Arabidopsis thaliana: one gene and its partners. The main gene of each other region encodes a partner of the protein of the gene in region 3 in a complex. Each region holds a gene or a part of one and is shown on either strand. Other genes may lie near its edges.

Region 1 (8,145 bases), about 24 Mb from region 3:
GTATATAGCTTAAAGGTTGATGTCTTGGATGCAGAGGAACAATTAAGTGCCTTATTCTCTCTAGTCTAGTAGTTATTTGCCTTGTAACAATCCTTTGTTATGTTACTATTTGATTTGAGGTTGTTTTATGTATGTAAAATCCAGTACCTAATTGTCTTGGTAATAGAATCTATAGATGTCTCAAAATCGGTCCGATTTTCGATTGTCAACACAAATGGTGCAAGATTTTGCTTTCTACATATATACTCTTTTCTTAAAAAACTACCTCAAAAGAACCTAATTGTCTTGGTACTCTTTTCTTAAAAAACTACATATATATTCAAAAAAACTACCTCAAAAGAAATTGTTTATCGTTTCTTTTTCAGTATTTTAGTTATCTGATAAAATAAAATAAAATTGTTTTTGGGTCCTCCACTATACATATGAAGAAACTTGCACATCACCATTCAGTTTGGTCACATGAGTTAATATTAATGAAAGCACTCGATTAACAACAAATATCATTAATCAAACTCAGTAAATTATTTATACATAAAACGAAATTTTATTTTCAATAGAAACTACTGATGTTTATTTCTTCATATCCTAATTTGTAACCTCATATTCTTTTGGTAAACAAACAAAACCATCAAACATGCAAATAACCGTTGGAATTCTAAAACTTATTAAAAGAATTTTTGAAGAGAACCATTTTGCTTTGAAAAAGGCAAAAAGGGTCAGAGATAATACGACATTGACTGCAGTGTGTATAACGGCTCCAATTTCAAAATTACTATCTTTAATAAAATAAATTAATTCCACTTTGACCCCATTATTCTTCAAAGCTTACAATTTCACCCGACTTTTCTTAATTTTAGAAAGTAATGGGTCCTATCCGAATACTTTCTGAAATAAAAGAACTTTTGTCTGTCACAAATCGCATTACCAAACAAAAAAGTTTGAAGTTTTGAATCTTTTTGTCTTCTTACACAAAAGACATTCCCCTAAAAACTCTCTTGTTCTTGACTCACTTCTACTTCAAAATCTCTCTGTTCTTCAAAATTCTTTGTCACAAAATGGGTTGCTGTCTCAGCAAGAAACCTTCCCCTTCTCTTCCCTCTAGTGTTAAACCCTCAGATCCAATCAAACCCATGGAACCAGTGATTGAGCCTTTGGAGGAAGAAGCAAAACCCAAATCTGAGAAACTGAATCAAGAAGAAGAAGAAGAAGAAGTTGTGGTGATAAAACACACAAGAAGCCATGAAGAGAGATCCAAGAAGACAGAATCAGATAAAGATTCTCCAGTTTCTTCTCCTGTGGCGGCTGAGAAATCGAATTCTACACCGCTTGTGAGAATCTCTAGCTGTACTAAAGAAGAAGTTGATGCTATATTGATACAATGTGGGAAGCTAAGTAGAAGCAACTCTGCTGCTAAAACAAGAAGATACTCTGGTTCTAAAAGAAGCTTTGATTTTGACCAGAACGAGAGAATCCGCGGCGGCGATGCGGCGGAGGAAGACGGAATGCAGCGAAATCGTCACCGTGGAGTAGAGAGAGTGCATGGTTCGCCTCGTGAACGGAGAAGACGAACTCCGAGTAGAGAAAGAGAAAGATCGGGAAGCAGAGAAAGAGGAAATGTCGGCGGTGGCGGCGGTGGTAGTAGGAGAGTGAGTAGATCTCCGGCGAAACGTTCTGAGATTCGTAACGCTGATTCGTGTGGCAGTTCGGTAAATTCGAGTAATAATAGACCGGGAAAGTTTGTTACGATTCCTGCAACGGATAAGAGTAACAATGTAGAGCCGTTAGTAAAACGGATTACGGTTAAGAGAAACATCGGAGACGCTTGCAGAATAGCGGCGTCTCCGAGGTCAAAATCTCCGGCTAGAGCGGGGAATAATGTTCCCTCGCTAAGCCGGAGTAATTCAAGAAAGGCGGAACAATCTCCCTATAGAAGAAATCCATTGGGAGAGATTGATCAAAACACTAAGAAGATGATAGAATCTGTGAAACCTAATTCAAGAACAAGTAGAGGTCCAAGCCCGAGTCGTGTTGCTGTTGTAGAACTTACGAAAGCTCCTCAAGTTGTGTTAAGCAGAAGCAGATCGTTGAGGAAATCTCGAGATTTCGATTTGGTATCAAACGAGGATAACAATTACACTGCATTGTTGTTGAAAGATATTCAGAGTTTTCATGGGAAGAGTGTTGATGATAGCGTGATTTCGCTGCCATTGTGTGTTAGTAAAGCTTGTTCAATTGTTGAAGCAGTGGCTGATCTTAACTCTATGACGAACAGAACTTGTTTGAGGTCTGATTCGAGCCGGTTTAGATTCACATCGACGGTGAAGAAAGCCGATCTTATGGAACCGAGTTTTGAGAAGTATGTGACTGTGAAGAGAGGTGGTGGTTCGTTGGAGGAATCATCTGGTAGCAACAATGTTACGTGACTAGGGAGATTCACTTTTAGCAATAACAGAAACTCGTGTTGTTGCGGTTTAATATGGAGAAATTGTTGTTTTGTTTGTCTATTGTTGTTTCCTTTGTTTGGTTTATTTTGTAATTCAGATGTCAATTTGACAATTTCAATGAATCTTCTTCTTATCTTCAGTCTGGCATAAAACCCAAAAAACCTGTATCGGACCCGAAACCAAACCAAATAATCATATAACCGGAGAGACTTTTAAATAATTTTACACGAATTATCCCAACTGAACCCGAACAGAAACAAAAACCAAACAGTATATCTGAAAAATCGAAACAATATCTACATATTCAAAATTATTAGATGTTTTAAATTATAATTATACCTTAACCAATTAACAAAAATATCCAAAAATATCTTAGATATATTATATATATCCAAAATATCCGAAAATTCTTAGTATTATACCTAAACTAAATGACAAAATTATATATTTTTTGTAATTCAATTTTTATTAAAATTTTGAAAAAATATGTAGTTTTTTCCAAAAACCGAACCAAATAATCATAGAACCCAAATATATACTAAATTTTTGTATCGGATGAATCCAAAAAATCTAAACTGAATCCGATCTGAACCCCGAACCATGCATACTTGGTGGATTAAACAGTTCGGTTCAGGTGAAAATTTTCAGAATTGTCGGTTTCGGATAAAATAACTAAACCGGATAAAATGTTCGGTTCGGTTTGAGTATTTCTTTTAACATTTCGTAGTTAAAAGCAACATCCAAAAGCAAAAACACACGCCGGAGAGTTTTCTAAGAACAACAGTGACGAAAAGGTTTTTAGGGTTTCTTTACCAATCAGAATCTCCGCCAAGTAACGATTTTCAGATTCCGAAGCAGCAAAGGTTAGAGCTTTTCCCTCATACGTTTCTTCTTCTGAATTCCTTGAAACCCTCCGGTGAACCAGAACCTGTTTTACATTCGTTTTCTATTCGGTGGTTTCTTTTAATTTAGGTCAAATTACACTGGAATTATCATTTGTTTCTCGTAATTCTGGATTTATGTTAAGTTTGGTGAAATCTCTCGTTGAGATGGATACGAAATCTATTAATTTTTCATTGTTATCCGTAAGCACACCAAGTGTTCGATGAAATTCCTAGTCTAATTTTTAGTAACCTTTCAGTTCAAATAATTTCCGAACTGTAACATGGCGGCAACTACTGGACTTGAGACTCTCGTCGATCGTAAGTTAGTCTTTTTTTTTGCCATTCTCGATTGATATGTGATGTTCTGTCACATGAATTGTCTAAAGATCTTATCTTTTGATTGGTTGCTGCAGAGATTATTTCGGTGATTACAAATGACGGACGCAACATTGTGGTATGTTATACTCTCTTGTGTGATATCTGGTTTAGAACTCCTTATGTCAATGCAAGTATCTTAGTAAAGAGATCGATTTTTATATTTTTTCAGGGAGTTCTTAAAGGTTTTGACCAGGCTACAAATATAATCCTTGATGAATCTCATGAACGTGTGTTTTCCACAAAGGTTAGCTTCTGATTCCTGTTTTAAAGTATTTTCATCTGAACTTTTCGATGTTACTAAATTGAATGGGTGCAAATACATTTTTCTGCAAGTAAATTGGCCAGTGTATGACCTGCAAAACCTTGTTGGTTTGTATCCATGAGTGGCTATGATGTAGCAGAGTTCTCGATGTCTCCATATTTTGTTTGTAGTGATCGCATAAAACTAGAAAAATAGAGGTACTATAAGGATGCTAGTTTATCTTTTGTTCATTGTCACTCAAAGCATCTTTCGTCGTCTGGTATTGATCTTTTAATTGGTACTACGTTCTTGCTAATAATGTACATTGCTTGATTTAGTTGCGTAGTGTCATCTTTTCAACAGAATATTGAGGAAACTTACTCAGATATTTAAGATAGGCCTTGTCCTACAGTTCTTTGTTTGGTAAGAGAATAGTGAATCATGAACTAACTGGCCTCTGAATGGAAGTATCTAAATCAGATAGTGTTGGATACACCGAAACAGATTTAGTGTTAGTATTCTTCGAGTGTTATAACTGATTGAAAAAATCTTGTGAGTTCATATGTCAAAAGATTTAGCTAGTGATAGGTAAGTCAAATACGTAGATATTGGCAGTGTGTAATTAATTATACATGATCACCTCCTTTTTTTCGTAAGAGGGTTAAAGGTTTGATTCATGTCTGTTTTCTTGTTTACACTAAGAGTATGTCAGGTCATGTTGATACTTCATTAGACAAATGTTCTTGGATATTTTTGGTGTGAAGGCAGAGTTCTGTTAAAATGATGGATATTGGAATTAGGATTGAGACCTCTTACTATGTCTTCATCTTTGCAGGAAGGAGTACAACAACATGTGTTGGGTTTGTACATCATCAGAGGGGACAACATGTAATTCTTATCATCCATCATCATCAGTGATTTTCTAACATTGCAATTGTTTTTTTGTTTCAATAAAAAAAATGGTGTCATCTTTGATCAGAGGTGTTATCGGGGAGCTGGACGAGGAGCTTGATGCTAGTCTGGATTTTTCGAAGCTGAGAGCCCATCCGTTGAAACCCGTAGTGCATTGATTGAATATAGTTATGGTGAGAAAATCTAATTCTCTCATTCAAAGCCTAAAAACAAAGAGAAGATTTGATTGTAAACAATTTGGATAGTTTGTTTTGATGTCTGGAGTTGTCTTATTTGTGTATCCTAAGGACAAAAGCTATATGATATTTTATGTCTTAAACGTTTTGGTCGGAAACTTAAATCATACAATCTTTTGGACGGACCTAGGTTTGCTACTAGACCACAAATTCTTTGATTAGAAAAAAAACTTTTATTGTTAACCAAAATTTTATAGATATTCAAATTGCAAAAGAAAAAAAAAAGAGGAATTAGTTTCTGGTATCTTACAAATTATAATGTCGTTGCAATTTCATCTAGAAGGATTATATACATCATCAAATCTATCAACATCAACAAATGGCCGTATTTAAAACTTAGAAGCATCATACATTTTCTATAAGACAACAATATAGATATTAACTTAATATGTCATTCTCCCATAGTCGCATCATACAAGTCGTTGGTTTTGGTAATAACTCGCCAAAACCAAACACTTCTGATTTCATCGGAGTCTTGGGTCTTCTTTTACGATTCCAATGTAATATTCTTCATATTAAGTGATTTATTTCTTGAAATTTTTCATAGTAAGTGTTATCAGAAGCTTTTGATTTTTGGTTATTAATATGAAGAACAAAAGAATTGCGTTCTAAAAATTTTTCGTTGATAACGATTAATATTAAACAGAAACACTACAAATAAATTAACATCGTTGGGGCCTAGGGATTTCGAATGGAATTTTATTTGCAAAAAAAATAATAAAATAAAGCATGTTAACAAAAAAGTAAAAGAAAAAAAATTCATGACGAAATGCATGAGAACACTGCTGCATAAGTCTTAGGGGATTAGGTCAACAAAAGTAAAGTAGATCTTCATCAAATGTATTTTGACTTTATAATGTACCTATTAGTCAAACTATATGCGATCTAAATATTAAAAACTTGTATTTTCTCAAAGACAATGCGAGGCGTAAATATATGAAATTTTATTTTGTAGATTAAGTACCATTTATATATGAAATATAAATAAATCAAGAAGAGTAAACATGAAAGAGCAAAAGAGTAAATAGAAAAAATTATAGGAAATAAAAAGAAACAAATAGTAATTGGAAAATATCTTAAGTGGATATAACTTTTAGTTGTTTGATAATGTATAGGACTACAATATATGTATTTTCCAAAAAGTCATCCTAATTTTTCCATCTATATTGCAAGTAATTTGATACCTACTAATGATTTTTATTTTTTTTATTTGATGGGTTCACATCAAACTCAATTTCCATAAAAGACCGCTACCTAAGCAGACACGCAAATTCACATTACACGTGTGATGTGTTGTATGGAAGCGAATGTACTTGTTTTTCATAATCTATAGGTTCATATAGAGAAGTCTCTCCATTGAAAAGTTCTTCCCTCTTGACTTTAAAAACTCCATAAGGTCCCTACTTATATTAATTTCCCAAACCCCTAAATAAGATCTACAAACAAAGCTTCTTCTTCTTCTTGGTGTCATCAAGATTTTCCAAAAATGTCTCAACACCAAAAAATCTATCCGGTCCAAGATCCAGAAGCCGCAACAGCGCGTCCAACAGCTCCTTTGGTTCCTCGTGGTTCCTCTAGATCAGAACATGGAGACCCATCCAAAGTCCCTTTGAACCAAAGGCCACAACGGTTCGTGCCGTTGGCTCCTCCAAAGAAGAGAAGAAGTTGTTGTTGCAGATGCTTTTGCTACACGTTCTGCTTTCTTTTGCTTCTTGTCGTTGCAGTAGGCGCATCCATTGGTATACTATACCTTGTCTTTAAACCGAAGCTACCGGATTACTCTATTGACCGGTTACAGCTCACCCGGTTTGCACTGAACCAAGACTCGAGTTTGACTACGGCTTTTAACGTGACTATAACCGCTAAGAATCCGAACGAGAAGATTGGAATTTATTATGAAGATGGGAGCAAGATTACCGTGTGGTACATGGAACATCAACTAAGCAATGGTACGTCACTTTTGGTTTACTCCGGTTTGCTTTCTTTTGGTTTTTTAACGTAGGAAGGCTTCAAAATCTCACTACAAAACCGGTTTATTTGGTTGATTTCTGTTCTTTTCCTTTGGTTTGGTTCGTACACAAGGAAGACTTTAAAACTCTTTTCAAATTAGGGATGTCTAAATTTTTTTGGTTGGCTTTGGGTTTACTTTCATTTTGGATTAGGATTGTCAAATACTGTATATCTTTAGTTTCAAACAAAATTTGGTTTAGATAGTTTTTGTTCGGTTCATATTCAATAGTTCGGATATAATAGAGTTAATTCATTCAAATCAATCGTTTTTGGTAGAGTTGGATCATACCGGTTTATCCGGACTGAAAACCCCAAAACTAAACATATTTATTTATGTTGTTTGGTTTTCTTGTTTGATTATAATTCGTTTACACCATTTCAAACCGGGTCTTCTTATAGATTTAACTTCATTGAACTTTTGTGATTTTTTTGAATAGGGTCGTTGCCAAAATTTTACCAAGGACATGAAAATACGACAGTGATATACGTAGAAATGACTGGTCAAACACAAAATGCATCGGGTTTAAGGACGACATTAGAAGAGCAACAACAAAGAACCGGGAATATACCATTGAGAATTAGAGTAAACCAACCGGTTCGGGTCAAATTTGGGAAGTTGAAGCTCTTCGAAGTAAGATTCTTGGTCAGATGTGGTGTATTTGTTGATAGCTTGGCTACCAATAATGTTATTAAGATTCAAAGTAGTAGTTGCAAATTTCGTCTTAGGTTATAGATCCGTTTTTTTTTATATAATTAATATCGAGATATACAGAGGGAATTTTGTCAGATATAGTCACATACTCATATATAGTTCTCCTCTAAAGTACATTATTGTGTCTCAGACCTTTGTTGTATAATAAACTGTTGGTTTAAATTAATATATTAAAGTATACAATACTATGTACATAGGTGGAATTCAAAGTATAGTAGTTGTAAGTTTTTAAAACCAGAGCATGTCCACCACTCCACCTTACCTTCTTTTAAGCAAACAATTGGTTGAAGGTAGACTCCAAAATTCAGTTTTAACTACTTACAACTTA
Region 2 (7,948 bases), on a different chromosome or scaffold from region 3:
TAAGTCCACATGAGTAATAGTGAATCATAATATATAATGAGATTAAACCACTTTGGACATAAAAGATCTTGTCTCCATAATGCACAATTCAGCTTTGAACACTTTTTGACTATTATACTGATTTTTATTTCAGAAAAATAAAGAGAGATTAAGCATAAATTATGATACATGATCCATATCCATGTGCAGCAAGTGTCTTCCCATTAACTCAACTGCTATACATTTATAGGAAACAATTAAATACATGTTATTCTGAAGAAACTCTTTTTTATCACAAATTACTAAATTAGTGAGTCTCCATACTCCAATGACCAATTTTATCATACATATTCAATTTTGCAAATGTTACAAAATCCTATCAGGAAAATTTGGCAAATCAATGAGCTTCTTCATAAGCAAAAATGATTCACTAATCAAAAAATTTGATGAAGAAAACTTGCAGAGAAACAATCTTCTAAACCATCTTATACTCTGTTTCATAGTAATCTAAAGTCATCTGATTGTTACCAGTAGTCACCACAAGAACATTTGCCATCCTGGAAATGATGGTAACGGATCGGATCTCGTATAACGATACTGCGGATTTCAAGCTTCGATGCGAGCTTGCAAAACACATGACAATCCCCACATATTCTCAGATTCTTTCTTATCCTAATGACTTTCTCAATAGGTAATGTCATCAAGCCAAAGGCTAAAGCCAGTTTCTCACTGTGATGTCTAAGTGAATCTTCCATTTGTTCACCTTCAAGATCTTGTAGCACAAAGTTTGTTTCAGGAACATAGCCAATACCAGTGAGTCTATGGATCAATTGGTTCAGCTTCTTACTGACTTCAACTATCTGTGGGTGAGAATTGTCTCCAATTATAAAAGCATGAATCTGTTTGTTTACTTCGATCCAGCTGCATCCAGGTTCTTTCTTGATTCCTCTGTCTCTCATTCGTGTCCGAATTTCTTCAACACTGTCCCATTTCTGAGAGTTTGCGTATATGTTAGACAATAGTGTGTAAGTTCCTGCATCCTCGGGATCGAGTGCTATGACCTTTTTAGCTGCATACTCCGCTAGCACCATGTTTCTTTGAACCCTACAAGCACCAAGCAAAGTTCTCCATGTCACAGCATCTGGCTCACACTCCATTTCATTTAACAGCTTCACTGCATCGTCGAGCTTTCCAGCTTTTCCAAGCAGATCAATCATGCAACCATAATGTTCCCTCACTGGATCGATTCCATAAAGTTTCTTCATTGATCTGAAGTAGTACCAACCATCTTCCAGGAGCCCTGCGTGGCTGCAAGCAAAGAGAACCCCGACAATCGTAATGTAGTTTGGCTTCGTCCCAGAAGATTTCATACGCTCAAACAACTTCAGTGCCTCCTGGCTATAACCATTCTGTGCCAACCCTGAAATCATAGTGCTCCATGTAATCACATCTCTCTCCTTCATCTGGTTGAACACACGGAGAGCATCCTCCAAACTCCCACACTTGCAATACATGTCCACGAGTGCGTTGTTGAGTATCAAGTCTTGGTCATATTTCACGATATGAACATGAGCTTGCATCCCAAGCTCCAACAGAGCCAAACCAGTACAAGCCCTCAATACGCTAGTCAACGTAGCCTGCTCCGCAATGAAACCAGCTCTCTTCATCCTCTTAAAAAGCTCCAAAGCTACATCGCTTCTACTATTCTGAGCAAACCCACCAATGATCGAGTTCCAAACAATCGCATCACCTGTAACCATTTCATCGAAAACCGAAAGAGCATCCTCCGGCTCACCCAGTTTAGCAAACACATCAATCAAAGCACTCCTAACAAAAACATCAGACTCCAACCCCTCCTTAATAATCCCACAATGAAGCATTCTAACATCAGACATACCATTGCAAGATCTCAAAACAGAAGAGTAAGTATACACATTAGGCCTCACATTATCTCTCAACATCAAAACCAAAAGCTCCAAAGCCTTTTGATGAATCTTACACTTAGAATAAGCAGAAATCATCGTAGTCCAAGAAATAACATTCCTTTGAGGCATTTGATCGAACAGTTGGTGAGCATCATTCAAAAGATTGAATTTTACATACATATTGATCAGAACATTAACCAGAAACATCATTGGTCGATGACCATTGAAGTATAAATGACGACAAATGAGATTCCCTTCATGAACAGCTCTATTAGATATACAACACTTGATAAGCTCAGAATAAGTTGCAGAGTCTGCCCAAAGACCATGACTTTGCAATGAATCCATTGCTTTCATAGCTCTGGGAAGGTCTCTCTGGTAACAGAGTCTGGTAAATTCGCTAAGAAGAAGAGTTTGATCTGTGGAGCTGTAAGAACAACGTAACGTGACGACTGGTCTAAAAAGTTTGATCTTTGACATTACTGACTTCATCGTCTCCACTAAAACTATGGAAACAACTTCAAAAATTTCAAATCACTCGCTTATAAATCCATGGTTCAGTAACGAGAAGACTCAGACATTCGATTTTTCCGGTTTACTTCAGTTCTGGTTAAGGAGATTTTGTGCTTTGGCACAACGAGATTTGAGAACGAAGTTAGGTAAGTGTCCATGATGTTCCAAATTGTTTAAATTGAACATATATGTTTCCAACATCACACCAGAGAGTTAGATGAAATACTCTCTAAATCGCCAAGTTAAACTAATAGAGAGACATATTCTTTGAGAAGAAAGTCTTTAGACAGCCTCTGCAGTAACGAACGGGTTAGCGATTTCTTCGGTGCCATCGGTTGGTGAGACAAGCATCACCGCTGTTCCACGGCAAACCTAAAAACAAGACAAACCATCATGATTTAGCATCTAAACTATGGAACTCCATTACAAATAACACGATGCTAGAAGAAACAATGATATTATTTGCACTAAACAGGATTACACTTATAGTAATGAAAAAAGAAGGTAAATGAATCATACAATCAAACCAAGGCGTCTTGTCTGATCCGTAGTCTTCAAAGGATCATCATGATCTGATCAAAACATAACACAAGGGTCATAAAACTGAGTTAGATCTATGGAAATATGATCCCACTTCTAGTTTCAAAATCTAGCTAAGAGAATGAAATCATCCCATTCATATCACCAACATAACATGATTAAGCAATCAAACAGTCTCTTCTAATCAAAATTTCCATATATCTTCCAATGGCATCATGGAGACATCTGTATGAACCAGAGTAATAAACTTCATAGCAATACAGAGATTCGTTTACTAAGAGGCGGATTCCACTAGAGAATTGTAGCCTAACAAGATCAATGCAGTAGATATAGGTAAGATAAAAGATACCTCGAACGAACTCGACTGCTTCATCAAGAACAAGATTAAGCAATTGGTCATAGCCTTTAAGAGTTCCAGTCACTGCAAGCAAAAAACATAGCAACTATCAAACAAATCTCAGAGAAAACATTAGAAAGAATCATCATCTTTGGAGCATAATGAGAGAAACACTTGTTTTATTACCTTGTCTACCACCAGTGAGCTTAACTTGCACACCCTTATCTACAAACTTGGCCAAATCTAAAACCGTTTCTTTTCTTCCAGACTGTGAATAACAAACACTCGCTTAAGAATTAACTCGACTCATATAACAATGATACTTTGCTACTTCAATTTAGGTTAAACTTTACCATGTTAGAGCAGAGTCTTCGACAATTCCCTAAACAAAAACCCTAAAGATCTGCAAAAAACGGAAATCAAATTGGTTCAGAATAGAGTTGATGATTAAAAATTAGGGTTTGCAATTCTTTGGCCCCAAGTGGATTCGGAAAATGTGTGAATTCGGAAATCAACAAGTGGATGAAGAAACCTCACCGGAAAAGCAAAGATCAAAGTGACGGCGTGGAGAGTTAACCCAGAAACTCAGGCGAAGCAATCGGAGAATCTCACAAGGAGTCGCGTGAAATCAGAGTCAGTCAAATAGTCGCAGCTTCCTAGTGACGCTTTTTGTTTTTTAACTCTGATCTCGTAAAGGACTCTGGTTTAAATCCCTAACCATGGTTACCATATTATTTGAACTGAACCGTAAATTGAACCATAAACCGATAACTAAACATTAAATTGTTAACTAAACCCGAAATAAAATTGGAAGGGGATATTAGTTAGGAATTAATAAAATCGTAATACAATTGTTCAGTTAGCTAAGAAGAATAAACATCATCTGAATAGAAATTACAATAAAGACAACTAAATTTAGCATTGTCATTATACTCCTTACTTTTAATCTAATAAAATAGATGTTTAAAAAACAAGATAACTGGTAAACACAAAGCAAATTTACCACAACGGCACAACCTATTAAAAACAATTACTAACAAATTTAACCAAAAATAAAATTAAAACGAAACATAAGTTTGATCCACCTCTAATTCTGAGCAACGCTTTTAAAATTTAACTATGAACTTGTGAAGTACTTGTAAGTCGTAAAGTAAATCATTTGGTAAAATCTCTTAACCATCTATCGACACAAAACTCCAAAAAAGAAATTTTTGATTCTTTTACGAAAAATGCACACACATTTATAAACTCGCAAATAGTAAATATCTCTGTTAAAAAGATTTGAATAACTTGACCTAGCAAAATTTCAGGTATTCAACGGCCGAATCGAAATTTAAATAACACCAAATCGAGTAAAATTAAGAGATATTAGAGCCGTAAAAAAAAGATGAATAAAGATTCAAACGTGTTGTTGACCTTAATTTAGACTAAAAAAAAAATCTAAACCGAAATCTCAATCATTAACGAAGAAAGAATCACTTTATTCATGAATCAAAACCAAAAGACTTATAATTACATGTGAATTCGAAAATTTCTTCTATGTCATCTTCAAATCTTCTACATTTGATCCTCATCACTTTATAAAGTTCTTTGCAGACCAGTTTGACTCTAAGACTCTTAATCTCTCCTCTATTGCTTGGATTGGTCATCGTAGCCTGAGTGAGACTTCATTTGTGCGTATTCCAACGAGACGATGTAACTTCCAAAGATTGTCATTGTCTTACTTAATCCAACGCTGATAAAGTAAATACAAAATAGATAACTAAAAATGAGTCAACTTTATTTTGTAAAAGCTCCACATACATCCGTTTGAACTCAGTCGGGTCAAATCGGCCTGAAAATGCTTTTCTACTAAAACCATTTATCTTCAGCATTGACGGATATCACATTTTATAAATAATATAATAGATTTTTTTCTCAAAATTAGTAACTAATATTATCATGAATAAGTTATCAATCAAAAGTTTTATCATATGTCATGATTTCAAAAGTTTTTAGTCAACGTTGATAGATCATCTTTATATATAAAGGGTTTTAGTCAATGTGATATATTTTTCATTCAAATAATTTTTAATCAATAATATTAGTGGTGAAAAACACAATAAACAGTAAAAATAAATATATTTTACTTTTGAAAGATAATTTCTACTTACAACGTCATTATTTATTATTTTTACTGAATTTAATTTTAGTTATAAAAAAATAAATTCGTCCATCGGACGGATCCTTATCTAGTTAGAATATATAGTCATGTATATATATGTAGATATCATAATATAGTTTGTATAATTGTATATTTTGGGTTTGTAGTATTTGTAACTTTAGTTTTTCTCCTTTGGATATATTGTGTTAAGTTATTAGTTTGGTCATTTTTCTTTCATGTTAGTGGCATCTTAAACTATCGGATTTTGGTTTTTAGAATTAATTTAATAGCATTTTCTTGATCAGTGATATCAACAATGTGTGTTTTGGAACTTATTTTAAAACTATATCAAATAATTTATATATAAAAAAAATAGATATATCAAAGTGGATATCCATAATCATCACAAAAAAAATTCGGGTATCCGAATATTTTGGATGAAAGCAAATCATAAAATCAATTATTCTGTTAAAACGAATCGAATAACAAATATCACTAATTTTCAGGATATTTTTTCGTGTCCAGCCGTAGTGAGGACTATTTTATAATCTCCCTCTTGTTTAATTAAATTTTGGTTTCACTTTTATTTTTTGGACAAATCATAATCGTTATCGAAAAGTAAATTATAAACTATTGAAGTCTGATACACCGGAGAGATCAAGCTAGAGAAGGGAACAGAGGAGAGCTAAAACTCATATCTAACAGAATCTTTATTATCATGTAAATGTTTTTACAAAATCTTAATCTAAATAAAGTGTACTTAAGCTTATATATACATCACTAATAACCATACTAAACCAACCATCAGATAACTGATGTTAACCTGTCGCACCATATATCATAATACGCCCCTCTCAAACCTTTACGTTCTAAGTGTCTGGTTTATGAAGATAAAGATTTGAAATTGACATCTTCTGAAGTAAATGATGGAATGGACCGGGATGTAATGGTTTTGTCAAAATATCAGCATGTTGATTCTCAGTCGGAACATGTAGAGTAGTGAGATGACCAGCCTTGATTTGGTCACGAACTGTATGGCAATCTATCTCTATGTGTTTAGTCCTCTCATGAAATACCGGGTTCATAGCAATGTGGATAGCTGATTTGTTGTCGCAGAAGAGTTTTGCCGGACAAGTAACTTTGATGTGTAAGTCTTAAAGCAGCTGTTGTAGCCAAATAATCTCACAAGTGGCATGAGCAAGACTTCTATATTCAGGCTTTGTACTACTCTGAATAGCTACTGATTGTTTCTTTAGTTTCCATGAAAGAGTGACCAAGATAAACACAATAACCAGTAACTGATCTACGTGTATCTTTGCAGGTTCCGCAGTCCGCATCCGCAAAAGCATTCAAGCATAATTCTGAATCAGCTGAGTACATTAAACCTTGACCATGGTTAGATTTAATATACATGAGCACTTTGTATGTAGCTTGAAGATGAACATCTGATGGTACTGAAATGAACTGACTTAGCTGATGGACTGCAAAAGTAATGTCTGGTCTTGTTATTGTCAGATAAAGCGATCTTATTCTTGTTTGTGGAACAAAACTGAGGAAGAAACAAGATCAACCATAAGCGTAAAAACCGATTCTTCATTTCTCCGGTTTGATTGTTAATACCGGTTAATTCAAATGATAACCGTAATTGAAATTGATCGATCTGTTACTTTCTCTGGTTTTGTTGCAGTCCGGTTTGATCACTTGGGTTACTGTATCCTTATTTCTAGGCATCATTACCTTGCTAGGAGGATCCTAATTATTATCTCATACTACATACTTAGAAGAGAATTTTCCAATGATTAAAGAGGCGTGTCTTAGAGTTCTGATTATAACAGTTTCATTATCTCGCATAATAATACATATTTTTTGCTACATTGCCTCAAGACCTCGTATATGTTTAGGGCTGCATCAAATCTTTACTTTAAGTTTTTGGAGGCATTATAGCTTCTTTAACCTCCTTGGCTTTATCTCCGACGTACTTGGCCGTTTTCTTGCTCACATCCGTCGCTATATCTATAATTTCACCGGCTTTTTCAACAATGAAGTCTTTGGCTTTCTCCGATATTGAAGCAGTTTCTTTCTTCGTCTCCTTGCCTTTCTCCGTCACAAACTCCGAAGCAAACTGAGCAATTTCAGCCACATTGTCGATTGCTTCACTAGCTTTCTCAAACATATAGTACTTTGCTCTATCTACATGATCATTAACATCTTGCCCTTTCTGAGCAGACGCATGTCCCACTTCGCTTCCCTTCTCCTTCACGTAGTCGGAAGCTTTCTGTCTTTTGTGTGTGTGTGTGACAATTTACAAAATTATTACACATGAACAAATAAAAATGTGTTTTGTATGAAAACCAAATTTATATACTTAGTGTTCCCATTTTATGAAAACCAAATTTATGTGTAATATTTCATAAAGTTAACAAAAAAACTCTCAAGAGAATAAATTATCAAACAAAAAAAAATCAACAAATTTTATTTCTAAAAAAATAACTATAAAAAATTGACAGAAAT
Region 3 (8,108 bases):
AATATCTTGGAAGTTTATCTAAGAGTCCTTCTTTTGATTGGGGAGAAGATGTGTCTCCGAACATACCTCTGGAGAAACTTCTTGTTTACCGGTTGAATGTGAAGGGTTTTACACAACACAGATCCAGCAAGTTGCCTAGTAACGTAGCAGGGACATTTTCTGGTGTAGCTGAGAAAGTTAGCCATTTGAAAACCCTTGGAACCAACGCTGTTCTTTTGGAGCCAATATTCTCATTCTCCGAGCAAAAAGGTCCTTATTTTCCATTTCATTTCTTTTCACCAATGGACATATATGGACCTTCCAATAGCCTTGAATCCGCAGTTAACTCAATGAAAGTGATGGTGAAGAAATTGCACAGTGAGGGAATAGAGGTACTTTTGGAAGTAGTTTTTACACATACTGCTGATTCTGGAGCTCTTCGTGGAATTGATGACAGTTCCTATTACTACAAGGGAAGAGCCAATGATCTAGATTCTAAAAGTTACTTGAACTGTAACTATCCTGTTGTTCAGCAGTTGGTATTGGAGAGCTTGCGTTATTGGGTAACCGAGTTTCATGTAGATGGATTTTGTTTTATAAATGCTTCATCTCTCTTGAGAGGCGTTCACGGTGAACAGCTCTCTCGTCCTCCTTTGGTTGAAGCAATAGCTTTTGATCCACTTCTTGCGGAGACCAAACTAATAGCTGATTGCTGGGATCCACTTGAAATGATGCCAAAAGAAGTACGGTTCCCACATTGGAAGCGATGGGCAGAACTCAACACAAGATATTGTCGAAATGTAAGAAATTTTTTAAGGGGAAGAGGCGTTCTTAGTGATCTGGCTACAAGAATTTGTGGAAGTGGTGACGTATTTACCGATGGAAGAGGTCCGGCCTTCTCCTTCAACTACATTTCAAGAAACTCAGGACTCTCGCTTGTTGACATAGTCAGTTTCAGTGGCCCTGAGCTAGCTTCAGAGCTAAGTTGGAATTGTGGGGAAGAAGGAGCAACGAATAAATCAGCTGTTCTTCAAAGAAGGCTAAAACAAATCCGCAATTTCTTGTTTATACAGTACATATCACTTGGAGTTCCAGTGCTTAATATGGGAGATGAATGTGGAATCTCGACAAGGGGCTCGCCTTTGTTGGAATCACGGAAACCTTTTGATTGGAACTTGCTAGCTTCGGCTTTCGGTACACAGATCACGCAATTTATCTCCTTCATGACTTCAGTAAGAGCAAGAAGAAGTGATGTGTTTCAAAGGAGAGACTTTTTGAAACCTGAAAATATTGTTTGGTATGCAAATGACCAAACAACTCCAAAGTGGGAAGATCCTGCTTCTAAGTTTTTGGCATTGGAGATCAAATCAGAGTCAGAGGAAGAGGAAACTGCGTCATTGGCTGAGCCAAATGAGCCAAAGAGCAATGATCTGTTCATCGGATTCAATGCGAGTGATCATCCTGAGAGTGTAGTCTTACCTTCACTTCCCGATGGAAGCAAATGGAGAAGATTGGTCGACACAGCTCTTCCTTTCCCGGGGTTTTTCTCTGTCGAAGGAGAAACCGTTGTAGCAGAAGAACCGTTGCAGCAACTGGTTGTGTATGAGATGAAGCCGTACAGTTGTACCCTTTTTGAAACCATCAATACTACCGCTTAGAACTCAAGTTATGATCTTTGTATATGTTACTGTTTTGTTACATTTCCAGTAAGAATATATTCAGTTAAATCAATGATTTCCACAATATCTTATATATATATAACATCACTTAAGCCTTTTGCTTGTATCCAAAGCTTGATACTGTATCTCCTCAAATCAGTGATTATTATTCGTTCTGATACGCGTATGCCTTTTATGGATTCAAACGAGTATGTATATGGAAAGATGATTTTCTTCAAGATTGATATAATCTTTATTTATTTTGTATAGATAGGATAAGATATGGATTGCTTAGGGTTTATAATCTTAAGCAAATTCTATAAGTAAAACCCAAAAAAGTTCTTCAAGTTATTCTCTGTAGCTATATTTTTTCTTTGAAAGCAGCAGGAACGTGATCTGAAAAATGAACGATGGTTGCTGCTCAAAGTGTCAGGTTAAAGCAACGAAGAAGAAGAAATCGAAGAAAAACGAAGGTGAGTTGTTTAACCTATTTGAAGATTTCTTACTTTTATCTTCACAAATCTTAAAGTTTTTGCCTTTATGATGCACAGATGAGCCTGATGAAGAGGATGTGAAACAAAAACAGAAAGTTTCAAAGAATGAGAATCCGAAAAAAGATTCCAATGGGGAGAAAGGATCAGATGAGAAGGATAAGAAGAATAAGAACGTCCTCAGATGGCCACAAGACTCAAGTACAAAGAAAGAGAAGGGTGATGGTAAAAACTTGTCAAGCGAGGAAAATGGTGGTAAAAACTTGCCAAGCGAGAAAAATGGTGTGAACCCGCCGCCGCCTTGTTACACCGCTCAACCGATGATGTACCATGGTGGACACAATCCTTTACACCGGTGGCCCATATCCGCAGCCTCGAGAAGCCATTATCCCCCGTTTTCGATGGGGGCAATGCATGGACCATATGGTGGTTGTGGACCTTGTGGTGGTCCAATTGATCCATACCAATCCATGCCTCGACCCAGAATGTTCGATGGTGTTCACATTTCACAATATCCGCCTATGGCTGCAGCATATCCGTATATGGCTGCAGCTGGTCCTTTCCCCTATTGGCAAACCAGACCGTACATGGATGCAAATCCTATGAAGCGTTACACTACCTATGCAGAAAATTACTCCTATTTTTATTCATGAGTCTATGTTTTTCCTCTGTTTGCTTCATCTCAGAAATAAGAAACTAAATTAATGACAAGAGTTAAGGTCCTATTGCTGCTATGCAAACAAGAACTCATATTACTTTATATAAGTTCCTTCTTACTGAGTCTATATGTTTTTCCTCTGCTTGCTTCATCTAAGAAAGGGAAAAACTTAAGTAGTGACAGCCTGACAAGAGTGAAGGTGTTTCTAAGTAGGCTTTAATAAGCTTTTCATTTGAACGAGGAAAAGAAATTAAATTATCCATTGTTAATAAAATGGAACAAGATTCATGGCCATACCATTGGCTCTACATCAGGGAAATATTCATTATAAAGCCATTACGCCGAATGAAAAGTATTCAAGTTTTGGAGATACAAAGATATTTCAGAATCAGCCACCCCTAGCTTCTCTTCTAGCTGCGTCGTGAAGCAAATCAACATCGACTCCATCTTTAGGTAACTGCACGTACCTTACCACAGATCCTCTGATGAAACAGTTTCTCACTGAAAGCTACACAGAACAAACACACAAATCCGTCAGCTAAAAACATCTTCGGGAGGATTCTAGCGAAATTGTACTATTTGACAAGGTTTCTAAAGTGTGACACTGACAAGATAAAGAAATACAGTGCCAAAGATATAACAATATAAACGCCATAAAACCTAAATGCATTGAAATTGGTCATGCAAACATATTGCAAATCTTTTGTAATCCTGAGTAGACTTGACAAATTGCAGTACAAAAGCAGCAATCTCAATCAAATATGTGAACCAGAACCACTAATCACTTCAAATCATCCCTTTGCGTCTGTAAATCTAATCAATATCACGTTAGAGCTTCTCAAGCTTGGTCACAGTAAATGAAAGCAAGGAAAAAGAAAAGAGTGAAGGCTTAAACACATTTGCAAGAGCCAAGGATTAAGCTTTCAATCAGTTCATAAGTGATATTTTACAATACGAGACAAAGAAGTATAGCAAGAAACTAGCGAGTGAGATCAATTCCAGTATAATGTCAAACACTTAAGAGCACTTCAAGCACACACAACAAAGAAAATATTGCCTATGTGAACAAAAAAAAAACAATAGGCTGCTCCAATAAACCCTAAATTCCCAATTCTTAGAGAAATCGCTTAAAAGAAAGAAAATTTACCATGTGAGGGTACTTGTCCTGGTCAACAACCCTAGTGTTCTCGAGCTTGATATTCAGATACTGATCAACTGAGTGAAGAGTTCCTCTTATGGCTAAATCATTCTTCAGCTCAACCGTCACTTCTTGTCCAACCAAATCCTTGAAGTAAGAAAAGAACAACTGCACCAGAGAACAAACACAATCAAAACCCATCACGAGAAACCCTAAATCATCATCGAAAACCATAAACTCGAAATCTCCAAGAACCCTAGAACCATTGGCTAAAAAAGAGTAAACCCATGAATAATTACGAAGAAAGAAGAAACCTTTTCTAGGTCAAACAAAACAACTGCCAACAATCAAGTTCATGAAGATGAAGAAAGCATTCAAATTTACCATTTTTGTTTCCTGCTGATTTCTACCTCTGCTCGCAATTCAACAAAGAAGCTGAAAAAGCTTTGCGGGATTTGAGGACTTTAGAACTTCTCTCTCTCGAGTAAAGAATGTATGTACCCTAATGATCTTTGGGTTAATTTCGAGAATATAAGAAACCAAAGGTATATTTATGTAATTATTGAAAAGATTGGGTATGTTCTTGGTAATTTAAGTAATAAGTGCCTCAAAGGGTAAATATTTAAAAACTCAAAGTGTGTTTTGGTCACCAGCCAAAACTGAATAAAGAAAAGATTTACACAAATCTTATAATATCTGACGCATATATAGGCGAGATTGCTGACGATAAGCTTTTTCGTTTTGTTTCCATGGTTTTGTGACGAAGAAGAGAAAAAAAAATAAGAAGTCAGTTTTTTCTCAATGGCTTCTCATAGCTATTCAACACTTAGGTTTAGTCTCCTTCAAGAGCTAAGAAGCAACGAGATCATCAAGGTCAGTTTTTTACTTTCTCTGTTTTAAAACACTTGGGTTTAGAATCTCTCGTTGAATTCTTGTCCTGGTTCTGTCTTCTCCTTGTTTGGTTCTTATGTCTATGAATGATTCAGACAAGCCGGGCTTATCTGGTGAATCCTGGAGGAAGAAAATATGAGATATTACCGGAGAGCTCCTTTAACCTGAAATCACAACTCTTGGAGCCATTGAAACCTTTTTCTTCTTTTAGTAAGTCTAACCACTTTTTGGAGTTTGATTCAACCATGATGAAGCATAGACTCATGGATGTTCATGGTATGTGACTTTGATCAAATTTCAGTTGAATTCACCAAATTGTAATCCCTTTTTTCGACTGACATGAACTGTGGTTAACAGAAACTGGACCAGACCCTGTGTGTTTAAGCTTGGGGATCACTCAGCAGTATGCAAGAAAAGAGGAGGTGTTAGAGTTCCTTTTGTCTAGATCAGAAGAAGAACTCAAAGAAGAAGGATTCGATTTGTCTCTCCTATCTGAATTGATGGGTCTAGATGCTTTAAGATCAAGTTCTCAGCAACCATATGCAAAGCCGTTATTGGATCTCATGGTGGATGCTAACATTCTGTTCTCAAGTAGCAGAGCTGAATTGAATGATTTGGTCTCTACGGCAGCTGAGTTTCATAGATTAAGGAACTCAACAAGATGGAGAAAGCTCTCACGGCTTGTCCCGCAGTTTCAGCGGTAGTTAATTCTTCACTGCAAGTTTGATTCATACCTATGAGTCTCATCCTTTTGGGTTTAACATTAAGTTTTTGCTCTCCTCTCATTCTGCAGATTCGACAGTGAAGTACCAATAGACACTCTGCAGCTACCCGAGGACGCAGTTACACTAGCTCCTCCAAAGAGGTATCTAATATCATCAACTAGTTTTTGGTACTTTTGCATCTTTAAAAAACGTTTCTTTCGATTTCCAACAGTCCGAAGAAAACCAGGCTCAAGCCTTCACCAAAGAAACAAAATCCGAAGATAAGAGATAAGGAATATGACCTCTACGAACGAAACCGTCTTCATGCGTGTGAGAGCCTTCTCTCTCTGATGATAGGCAATGAACAACATAGAAAAACCACAATGCTATCTCTAAAGAAATCACGTGGAGAACTCTTCGAGCTTTTGACTCAGTGTTCAATTGGCTTTGCTGGCACTGGTATGGCTGTGCTCTTCTTTCTCGTTTGTAATGTTGCTTCCAGGCAGGTACCCTTTTGCGCAAACCAATTCTTCGAGGGTGCAATGAGTTTGAGTTTGGTATTGCTCTCGTGGTCTGTGAGTAGACTCAGGGAAGCCCTTGTTAATTTCAATAGGAAAACAATCAACGAAGAAGAAGTCTCAAATAAAGTGGAAAGAAGAATCAAAGAAGTTTACTTCAGAGCTGCCACAGTTATTGCCATGGTTGCACTTAGGTTTGGTTGAATGTTGGAATGCTGATGATTTGGAGTCTAGTTTCTAACTCCATTCTTTGGCTTGCTTAAAGGTTAATTTGTCAATGTTAGGTTGTAGAATAAAGTGAAGATATCACACTGGGAGAAGCTTTTCTTTTAAAACACTAATCTCTCGTTTATTTGATATAAACTCTCAAAGTAGTAGAAATCTCATGAGAGATGAATCTTTAGATACTAGAGAACAGTTGTGTTTTTTCGTTTGAAGAACTTTTAAATCTGCTATAGCGACTTAGCTCATCACTTTTGATACCACACCGGCTCCAACTGTTCTACCTCCTTCCCTTAGAGCAAATCTTTGACCCGTTAAAATCGCAAAATAGAAACAACTTGGATTACTCAAGAAACAACTTGCTTTCTCGCCTTGAAATGGTGATTGGGGTTTAAGTGAGGGTTAATTACTCACGCGAGGGTTTCTCTTGGATCCATCCAGATCCTTTTCTATCCTTTTCTGTGTTCTTCTTACCAGTAAATTCTCAAAGGACGTCGATTGTGGTTTTACACTAATAGTTTCACATCGATTCGTTGCATTATTAAAATCCAATCATAAAATTTCTATTTATACATGCACACATACGGTACATGTTCAATTGAAACATTTTCCCTAACTAGACATGCCAATAAATAATAAGTTGGTTTGGTCCAAAAAATAAAATAATAAGTAAAATTCTACAAAACAAATGGTACAGTTTTGTTAATAACTAGATATTCATCCGGGTACACAACGTATTTATATTTTTGTTAACAAGTTAAAGATTTTATTTTAGTTAATAGTATTTATAAATGATAAACATATTAAGAAGTACACAACGAGCCTATATTTTTCTCAAAAATTTTTATTTTTTTGTTTTAAAGATGATTTATAGATATATGCTATTGCTTTTTTTTATGTATGATACATCTCGAAATGATTTATATAACTAAATTTCTGAAATTTTAAGTTATTTTTTGTATTAATATTGTAAATTTTGTTTAATTTTAGAATTTTACCATAGTATATCATTCCGTATTAATATTGATCCAAACCGTCTCACCATATATCCTAGTTCTGTGAAATTAAACATCATTTTGTCATTTTCTTATAAAGTTCAAATCTATATAATATTTGAAACTTCAAAAAAGTTTTAAATATATTGTATTATATCGTCCCGTATTAATATATTTTTAAATATATATATTATATAAAACTTCATAAGAGTTTTAAAATTATAAATATTAAAACGTTTTAAGAAGTTTTAATTTTAAAAGTTTTACAATTTGTAATATTTAACTTTTTTGGTTCTTCACAAAGGACAGAAATTGAGATTAATTTTGACACAATTAAAGCTCCGAATTCGCAGGGGTCAGTTGATTGATATACTCAAAATAACTGGAGAGAATGACTATCGCAAGATGAATATATTCAAACTTTCCTCAAACCACCTTCTCAAGTAAAATTTAAAAACATATTTTCAAATCAATGTAAAATAGAAACGTTGAAGAGAAAAACAACTGAAGAATGGGGGCAAAGCGCCAGAAACTTGTAAAAACAAGTAAAAGGATTGGCAAAAGTAAGAAAGCACACCACTTTAAAACTAACATTAAGCTTTGGATGATGATGATTCTTCTTCGTCATCTTCATCAATGTCCCAACTTAAATCTTCATCTTCCTCTGCAGCACTCAGACGTTTACGCAGCTCAGCTCTGTTTGGACTACCACCAGACCGACTCGTTTCCTTACCATCTATGCTACTCATATCCTCGATCTCGTCCCATCCCAAATCCTCTTCAGATGGTTGTTGAGTTGATGAAGAAGCAGCCACATCTGGTTTAGCTGAGTCTTGGGATGGAGCAGCCTCATC
Region 4 (7,261 bases), 5.8 Mb from region 3:
TGTAGCTCTCTTCCTCGTTTATTTGCATCTATCTATGTCTTCCTTTGATTTGGAATCTTGTTGATATAGTGTCTTCATTAGTTTCCGATTTTGCATTTTGAGATTTCAGCGGTATGATCCTCCGAAATCTGATCAGACATAAGTCACGGCTTCCGTAGAATTCTTGTCTTTCCTGTTACCAAGATCATCCAAATGCTTGTCTTGTGAATTTGCTTGGATCTTCTATTCACAAATCTTATTATCAATGCTTAAACTTTGGATTTGGGTTATTGCAGATCATCTCGCAAGTTTGATCCTTTTTTATATATTTTTCTGAATCTCTGCAGTTAAGGTGGACAGAGCTGTGAGCACAAGTATCTACTTCTTGCTTCCATCTGGGAGCGTTTCTCGTCTTCATCGCATACCAATGGCTGAAACCTGGCACTTTTATTTGGGTGAACCCCTTACTGTAAGTTCAAAGCTCTTGTCTTTACAGTGAGTGAACAAAACTGTATAATGAGAAGAAGAATATAATCCATGTTCTTGAATATGGCTTCTTCTTCTTGCCTTGATCAGGTAGTGGAACTCTACGATGATGGGAAGTTGAAATTCACATGTCTTGGTCCTGACTTGTTTGAAGGTGATCAGAAGCCTCAGTACACGGTCCCTCCAAACGTCTGGTTTGGTTCGTTTCCTACAAAGGATGTTCATTTTTCTCAAGACGGGGCTCTGCTTAAAGCTGAGGCTAGAGACTCTGAGAACCATTTCTCTCTTGTTGGCTGCACCTGCGCTCCTGCTTTCCAGTTCGAGGACTTTGAGCTCGCGAAACGCTCTGATCTCTTATCAAGGTTTCCGCAACACGAGTCACTCATCACAATGCTATCTTACCCGGAGTGAAAGGGCCTACCTAGAGGAGACGCCTTATTGGCTCAATGGTTTTTGGTAACTACTAAGAGAAGGATACTATGTTTGCTTTGTTACTTCAACTTTTCATATGAATCATACAAAGGTTGTAACTGTACTTTGAGTTCACTTTTCATCTTTGTATCTTTGTTTTTACTGAATTGTGATTGATCAAATAAATGGCCAGTAAAGAACAGGCTCAACAATTTCATTCCATAAACAGAGCAGAGGATCTGCAACGACTAAGTTCTGAGGATTCATCAATGTCATCCACACATACACACATCAACTAACATTATGACGTTTAAGGATCTTCTGTATCCTCCATCTTGAGATCTTCTAGTTTCTACAATGCTGCAACACATAGGAAAATGCCCTAATCGAGATCAAGGAACTCCATTCTTTTCCGCATTGTGCCCTTTAAAAGCATTTCTTCCTTCTCTGCTTTCTGAGCCTGAGTATACGGAAGAGAGTAATTGAGGAGTCAGTAGAATCCAAAACACTAAACCAAATAAAAGCAAATCAGCTGTAGTACATTTGTGCAAGAAGCTCACAAATCAGAGCTAAAGCAATCAACAAGGGAGAGAAGGATATTTGCACTAACCCTTTTTATCTCTGCTTCTGGAACCTGAACCATATGAGCTGGAAGCTCTTCTTTTTCCACGTCCTAAGATCACAGAAACCCGATTCAAACACCGAAATCGTTCTTAAAAGTGGAAACTTTCATTTCAAAATGCAAGAGGAATTGGTTTGTTTAGTAAAAGCTTTACCAATTCACCAATCAAGACAACATTTTCTCCACGGATAATGTATAGACCTAAGGGAATATCACAGTAGAGATCACCCACAATGACTCTTTCATAAGCTTCTTCTAAAACAGCATTAGCTTCAAGAAAACCAAAAACAAACGAAACATTTCTTAAAACCATTTCAAAGACTTTGGATTTTCGGTGCAAAAGAGAAAGACAAGTACCAAATTGATCAAAGGACCGAAGTAGACCCATCAGTTTCCTACCATCACGAAGCAACACAAGAAGTTTCTCTGCAACAAGAAATCAAAACATTAAGAGACTATTGAATCATGTAGAAGAAGATAACATCTTCAACAACCATTGGGGATCAAAATCTTATTTTTTTACAGAATTCATCGCCGGTGAATCAGTAATGAGAAAGAGAGTGAGAGAGATTACTGTCTAGGTAAGCAGCAAGAGAAGTGGAGAAGAAGATATCATCAGGAGCAGCCCAAGACATTGGAATTCTAAAACTCAATCTCCTCCACTCGCATTTGCCTTTTTGACTTCTCAGTTTCCCAATTCCCGATCTTCCCTTTTCTTCTTCTCCTCGATTACTGAGCTTAAGAACAGAGAATCAACGAACCCTAATTTATTCACTAAGAGAGAGAGACTTGAGATCTATGGATCGTTTTCGTTAAGTCTGACGGCTCGCACGATTCTGTTCTGTCAAAGTTTGGTCAGACTGAGTTTTTTTTTCAATTTTAGGAAAAATACATTAAAACCCCAAAACTTCGTAACTATTGCATAATCAACCCATTTTATTTTGCATTTGGGTTTTCCTTCATTTCATTTTATTATTTAACAAGAAATCTCAGTCATTCTTCATTATTCATCACTTATTTCAAACTGCATAAATACAAATAAAATTATTTGATAAGATGAATATTTTGTAGTTTACATGAGCAAACAGATTTTCTTCACCACATTAAAATCTGAAAAAATAAAAACAAATCTATGATGAAAAATGGAGTTTGACAAGTAAATATACATCTGTAAACACTGATTATCAGAGATATTTTTATGACCCTTCTCCAATGTTATTCTTCATATCTTGAACAGTTGAACTTACACCATCACTCAATTGAGACCTGAAAAACATATTTTTGATTATTTGTCTTGAATCAGTGATCATGTTTGTTTGCTACTTTTTATATTTTACATAGAAAATCAATTTTTAATAAGAAAAAACTTTGGTTTTTATTTACATTCTATTATTACCATGACTATCAATCAGGTCCATTTAGCTTATTGGTTGATATCTACATCTCCAAGACAATATCTGTAACCATCAAAGAAATTTAAATTAATTTACCCTATCCATTATTCTTGTTTACATTTTTCTATTTGTTTATTTATCTATTTTTAAATTCTTACTTTTCATCTTTCTGCATTTTAATTCAGTCCTTATGATGTTTATTATATGCTTTTGACCTAACTAAATACTGCAATAAAGCCAGTCATGATATTCACTTGGTTAATTACACCATCTGTATGTTTAAAATAAAACTTTTTTTTTTTGCGACCTGAAAAACCAAATATATATAATTTTAGAAAATCTCACATTCAGAATCAGTCTTGACCCATTTGTTGGCGTCAACACTTGAACGAGCTTCATCCATAATCTTATGATTACTTTCCAAGTACTTCTTTGCTATAGAATTTGAACGTTGTGGATGTATCTTCTTGTTGAGTATTGTCCTTAGCATCTACACACAAAATAACATATGGAAAAAATGTTTCTAGTGTACATAACTATTATTGAATTCACTTCTTTTCATAATAAAAATAATATTTTGTTTAAAGATTGAATAATTTGATCATATATGCTTACCTTTTCCATTCGTGTGTTGTGCAATGAATCTCCTCTAGATAAATCAAGAAGAGGAGGTGGAGTTTTGAAGCCACTTGTGCAAACAAACATCTTCTTGAGAAGAAAAGAAAGCGATTTCTTCTTCCCGATAGTAACATCTGTATTAACCGGAGTTATATCTTTGCTAGAATCTGTTTCTTCTTCTTCTTCTTCTTGCTTGGGGAAGATATTGTTTCCAAGTGTTCCGATGGCTAAGAAGGTTTCTTCGTCTTGAGGCAAACCTTGGACTTCTTTACTCAAAGGAGGACTTGATGGTTCTTGAGCTATATATACATCATCAAACATATGAAACAAAAATATGAAAATATGCTCAAATGATTTATGCGAAGACTGTTCATGTAGTCTATGAATAATAAGAATATTTACTCACAAGAATCTGAAGTAGGCACACGCTTCTTTCCGCTAAGCTTTCTTTGAACCCAACTAAAAATCTGTGTAGAACAACAAGATCAAGATTTTTGCACGATCAAAGAAAGATCAACACTATTAATTTGATTTAGACATATATGAAAACCAACCTTCATATTTCAGAGACATGCATATATAAAAGCACATGTATGTGTGTGTTTATCCAAGAAATTTTCTTTTTCTGTCAATGTTCTCCAAGAAATTTTCTTTTTCTGTCAATGATCTTTTACTTCTTGAAATAGCTTTAGGAGATAAAGATGATCAAGTGGTCCCATGTTTTTAAAGACACAGTAAACACAAGTCCCAGAAGCCAGCAAAAAGCCAGCGATTAGAAAATTGGGTTCAAGTTTCTATACACCCTCGATATCAGTTTCTTACGACTTCAAGTCACCATTTTTGTAGCACTTGATCCCATCTTTGTGGACTTTGTTGGTACACCACAATTGCGTTATATACTTATAATATGTGGACCATTTTAAGAGATCGAAATCGAGTAAATTGTGAAGGAAACACATGGATTTGTCCCTTCTTTTACACTCTCTTCCCTGTAGCAACTATACAGAAAACCCACAGCTTTTATATTTGATCAGGCCGTACAGAAATTACATGCAGTGTGTATGTAAAATGTACAAACTTACTTTGAAACTTTTAAAGCTTTACACTCGAATTCAAAACCGATTTTTTTTTATAATTTAACTAACTACCCATCGTCTCCAGAACAGCAAACAGTTGAGCAACATTCAAAGCAGGCGATGCAAGCAATCGCTGTGAAGAGCTGTGTGAAGACAAGGACACATTGATCATTGAGCTTAGAGCAGCATTGGACACAACACATGCAGCAACATTTGTTGCACAAGGAGACACAACAGCTCGAAGCAGCCTTGACGAACTTCTCAGCAGCATCAGGAGCTTTCTGCTCGCCAAATCCTGGCGGAACATTCTCTCTGGTGGCTGTTTTATCCCCAAATCCTATCCCAAGGCTTTGTAGCGGGATCGTTCTTGATATCATCTTCTGTTTCTCGCCGTTGCTTGTTGTCTGTTGAAATATTTAGTGAATATATGTTATAATGAGTCTGGATTGGTCCTCTGGAACAGAATTAATCACTAGGTTTTGCTTGAATGTGGCGATTTTAGTTCATAACTTCTAGATATATAAATGAGTAGTACCTACCTTTTTCTTTCCGCCAGTTTCGCTGGGTTTCAATTCTTCTGTGTTCTCTAATTGGATCATTCGAGTATACTCGGATAGTACGCCGGTTTGGATGCTTAGTTTAGCAATCTGCGAAGAAGATAAAGCAAAATGAAGAAGCAAATCCTGAAAGAGGCAGTGGGGGAAGTGAATTGTAGACAAACCTTCTCTTTTAGCTGTTTATCTTCAGAAAACCATGCCTCAGCAGTAAGCAAGTCAATAACATTCTTTGCAAATACCTGAACATTAAAATTTAGGGAAAAGGATGAATTATGAATAAACCCAGAAGTCTTTATCGAAAGAAGCTCCATAGGAATGATACTGAGCAGGACGTAGATCTTACTTTATCAAGAGGCATGTCTTTTGCACTCTGTACAGTCAAGTCTGTCGAAAAGCTGCTCAAATCTCCTAGCAGACCTTTGGCTATCACATTCTCGGGGAACTTTCCTCGGTATCTTCCATATATCATCAATGGACTTGCAGACGTCAGATCCGGAATATTTGAAGGGTATACCTATTATTGTAGTCACAGGTAACAGTTTCAGTTTTAGGCATCAACTTCACAGAATCGGAAGGAAACAAAAATCCCAGAAAAGTCAAGCAAGCATAGAGGCACACCTCAACTTCATCTAGACTCTGAAGGGGCTCAATTGCTATATTAACAAGAATGGTGGATAAAGCCTTTGTAAACAGTTTGTCCATTCTTTCCTCAATGTGATCTGGACATCAAAGAAGAAGAACATTGTTTAAGAAACTATATTACAGATGTTAACTTTTTCCTTTAATTCACCAAACAGAGTCAAAGTTTCACCTGTATTATAAACTGATTCGTGCTGGCCACAGGATATATTTGCAAGCATTTGCAGGAAGTAGTGATTACAGAATACACCTGAAATATTGCAAAGAATCCAAAAACGAAAAGGTAAATAAAACGATCCGGGTTATTTAACATCAAAACCTTGGAGAAAAGTTTACCTAACCCAAAAGTGTGTATCCGAGGAAACACTGATCCAGCACTAGCTAGATGTTTCTTCATTACATCACAAATGTGTCTCTCATCTTCAACAGACCCATCTGTTACGAAGAAGATCATAGGAATAGAGCCACGAGTATTTGAAAGCATTTCCACAGCCTGAAAGTATTGAACAAAGTTAGCCGAATTAATGTCAGGATTCAATCAGAGGGGATATAATCACCAAAATGTTAAGCTACAAATGAGTGGCGGAAAGACCTTCTCTAGGGGAGGGAGCATGTTTGTACCATCTGCGACGACAAAGTTCTTGTTCATCCACTCAATGCCTCTTTCAACAGCATCAGAAGTGACTGACTCCATTGATGTCGAAAATAGAGCAGTATCATTGCTGAAAGTGATAATATTGAAAGAATCTCCAGGATCAAGCTTAGATAGAGCTGTAGATATCGCATTTTTTACATCCTCGAGAGGTTTTCCAGTCATACTTTTACTTATGTCAACAACAAATACTACCTCCCGCTTGAATGCCTAAAGTTGACAAAACAAAACTTAAGATTAAAATGCAAATGAATTTATTGCTAGAGAAAAGAAAGAGTTAAAAATCAAACCTTAGTTTTTTGCTGCTTTCCTGGAAAAAGATAGAAAGAAAATATGTCCCTCTGATCAACATCGTGAACAGGCGCAGATTGAAGGAAAAGTCCACCAACTATATTACTTGAGGAGGCCTACGATTTATTAGAAAACAAATAAAAGCATAAGCACTCTTTACAACTAAATTCAATCCAAATTTTTTGCAAGTGCATACGCGAAGTTGGAGCACCACCAGTTAAAGCCAATACCGTATAAGAAAAGCTAAAGTCAGTGTTCGACCACTTCAAAACATCTGCTTCATATGCAAACCTCAACTTCCCTGCACTCCGCAATTTCTCCTGTAATAAAAGAAAGGAATAAGAGTTAAAATGATAGAGCAAAAAAATTGAAATATTATGGAGTGTATTCAGAAAAATCTATAAAATCAAACCTTTAGTTGATGACTGCATCCTTTGCAGAGAACTTCTGTTCCAGTACCAGCATTAACACTCAAGTAAATCTTTTCTCTTTTTGAGATTTTCTTTACCGCAGGAGTCACATACTCAGGAAAGTTG

What was found.
Region 1: LSM2 (region 3) and LSM8 share a complex: the UniProt entries of both Arabidopsis thaliana proteins name them as parts of the heptameric LSM2-LSM8 complex.
Region 2: LSM2 (region 3) and EMB2816 share a complex: the UniProt entries of both Arabidopsis thaliana proteins name them as parts of the heptameric LSM1-LSM7 complex.
Region 4: LSM2 (region 3) and LSM1A share a complex: the UniProt entries of both Arabidopsis thaliana proteins name them as parts of the heptameric LSM1-LSM7 complex.

What each region holds. Positions count from the first base shown.
Region 1 is NC_003070.9:24,431,335-24,439,479, reverse strand, and holds LSM8 (Small nuclear ribonucleoprotein family protein), read left to right. Parts: upstream 1-3,185; 5' UTR 3,186-3,238; exon of another isoform or gene 3,239-3,307; intron 3,308-3,585; 5' UTR 3,586-3,609; coding exon 3,610-3,646; intron 3,647-3,741; coding exon 3,742-3,782; intron 3,783-3,875; coding exon 3,876-3,950; intron 3,951-4,293; coding exon 4,294-4,370; intron 4,371-4,651; coding exon 4,652-4,703; intron 4,704-4,782; coding exon 4,783-4,835; intron 4,836-4,926; coding exon 4,927-5,017; 3' UTR 5,018-5,277; downstream 5,278-8,145. Other genes in the region: AT1G65710 (serine/arginine repetitive matrix-like protein), read left to right, coding at 1,056-2,423; AT1G65690 (Late embryogenesis abundant (LEA) hydroxyproline-rich glycoprotein family), read left to right, coding at 6,582-7,044, 7,543-7,838. UniProt on the Arabidopsis thaliana protein: Component of the nuclear LSM2-LSM8 complex which is involved splicing nuclear mRNAs. LSM2-LSM8 binds directly to the U6 small nuclear RNAs (snRNAs).
Region 2 is NC_003071.7:1,176,008-1,183,955, reverse strand, and holds EMB2816 (Small nuclear ribonucleoprotein family protein), read right to left. Parts: upstream 3,986-7,948; 5' UTR 3,832-3,985; intron 3,740-3,831; exon of another isoform or gene 3,698-3,739; 5' UTR 3,651-3,697; coding exon 3,648-3,650; intron 3,563-3,647; coding exon 3,481-3,562; intron 3,379-3,480; coding exon 3,307-3,378; intron 2,990-3,306; coding exon 2,937-2,989; intron 2,790-2,936; coding exon 2,700-2,789; 3' UTR 2,444-2,699; downstream 1-2,443. Other genes in the region: REME1 (Pentatricopeptide repeat (PPR) superfamily protein), read right to left, coding at 504-2,396; AT2G03850 (Late embryogenesis abundant protein (LEA) family protein), read right to left, coding at 7,359-7,716. UniProt on the Arabidopsis thaliana protein: Component of LSM protein complexes, which are involved in RNA processing. Component of the cytoplasmic LSM1-LSM7 complex which is involved in mRNA degradation by promoting decapping and leading to accurate 5'-3' mRNA decay.
Region 3 is NC_003070.9:814,987-823,094, forward strand, and holds LSM2 (Small nuclear ribonucleoprotein family protein), read right to left. Parts: upstream 4,578-8,108; 5' UTR 4,312-4,577; coding exon 4,309-4,311; intron 4,093-4,308; coding exon 3,934-4,092; intron 3,295-3,933; coding exon 3,175-3,294; 3' UTR 2,948-3,174; downstream 1-2,947. Other genes in the region: DBE1 (debranching enzyme 1), read left to right, coding at 1-1,637; AT1G03320 (uncharacterized protein), read left to right, coding at 2,041-2,110, 2,189-2,781; AT1G03340 (uncharacterized protein), read left to right, coding at 4,726-4,797, 4,911-5,091, 5,173-5,515, 5,609-5,680, 5,752-6,241; AT1G03350 (BSD domain-containing protein), read right to left, coding at 7,848-8,108. UniProt on the Arabidopsis thaliana protein: Component of LSM protein complexes, which are involved in RNA processing. Component of the cytoplasmic LSM1-LSM7 complex which is involved in mRNA degradation by promoting decapping and leading to accurate 5'-3' mRNA decay.
Region 4 is NC_003070.9:6,603,160-6,610,420, reverse strand, and holds LSM1A (Small nuclear ribonucleoprotein family protein), read right to left. Parts: upstream 2,307-7,261; 5' UTR 2,134-2,306; coding exon 2,073-2,133; exon of another isoform or gene 1,925-2,072; coding exon 1,856-1,924; intron 1,769-1,855; coding exon 1,653-1,768; intron 1,550-1,652; coding exon 1,487-1,549; intron 1,337-1,486; coding exon 1,259-1,336; 3' UTR 1,052-1,258; downstream 1-1,051. Other genes in the region: AT1G19130 (RmlC-like jelly roll fold protein), read left to right, coding at 1-1, 327-448, 556-876; AT1G19115 (uncharacterized protein), read right to left, coding at 2,936-2,955, 3,238-3,382, 3,508-3,809, 3,917-3,977, 4,065-4,070; AT1G19110 (inter-alpha-trypsin inhibitor heavy chain-like protein), read right to left, coding at 4,655-4,990, 5,126-5,233, 5,308-5,382, 5,487-5,657, 5,762-5,862, 5,955-6,032, 6,119-6,275, 6,375-6,644 and 3 more. UniProt on the Arabidopsis thaliana protein: Component of the cytoplasmic LSM1-LSM7 complex which is involved in mRNA degradation by promoting decapping and leading to accurate 5'-3' mRNA decay.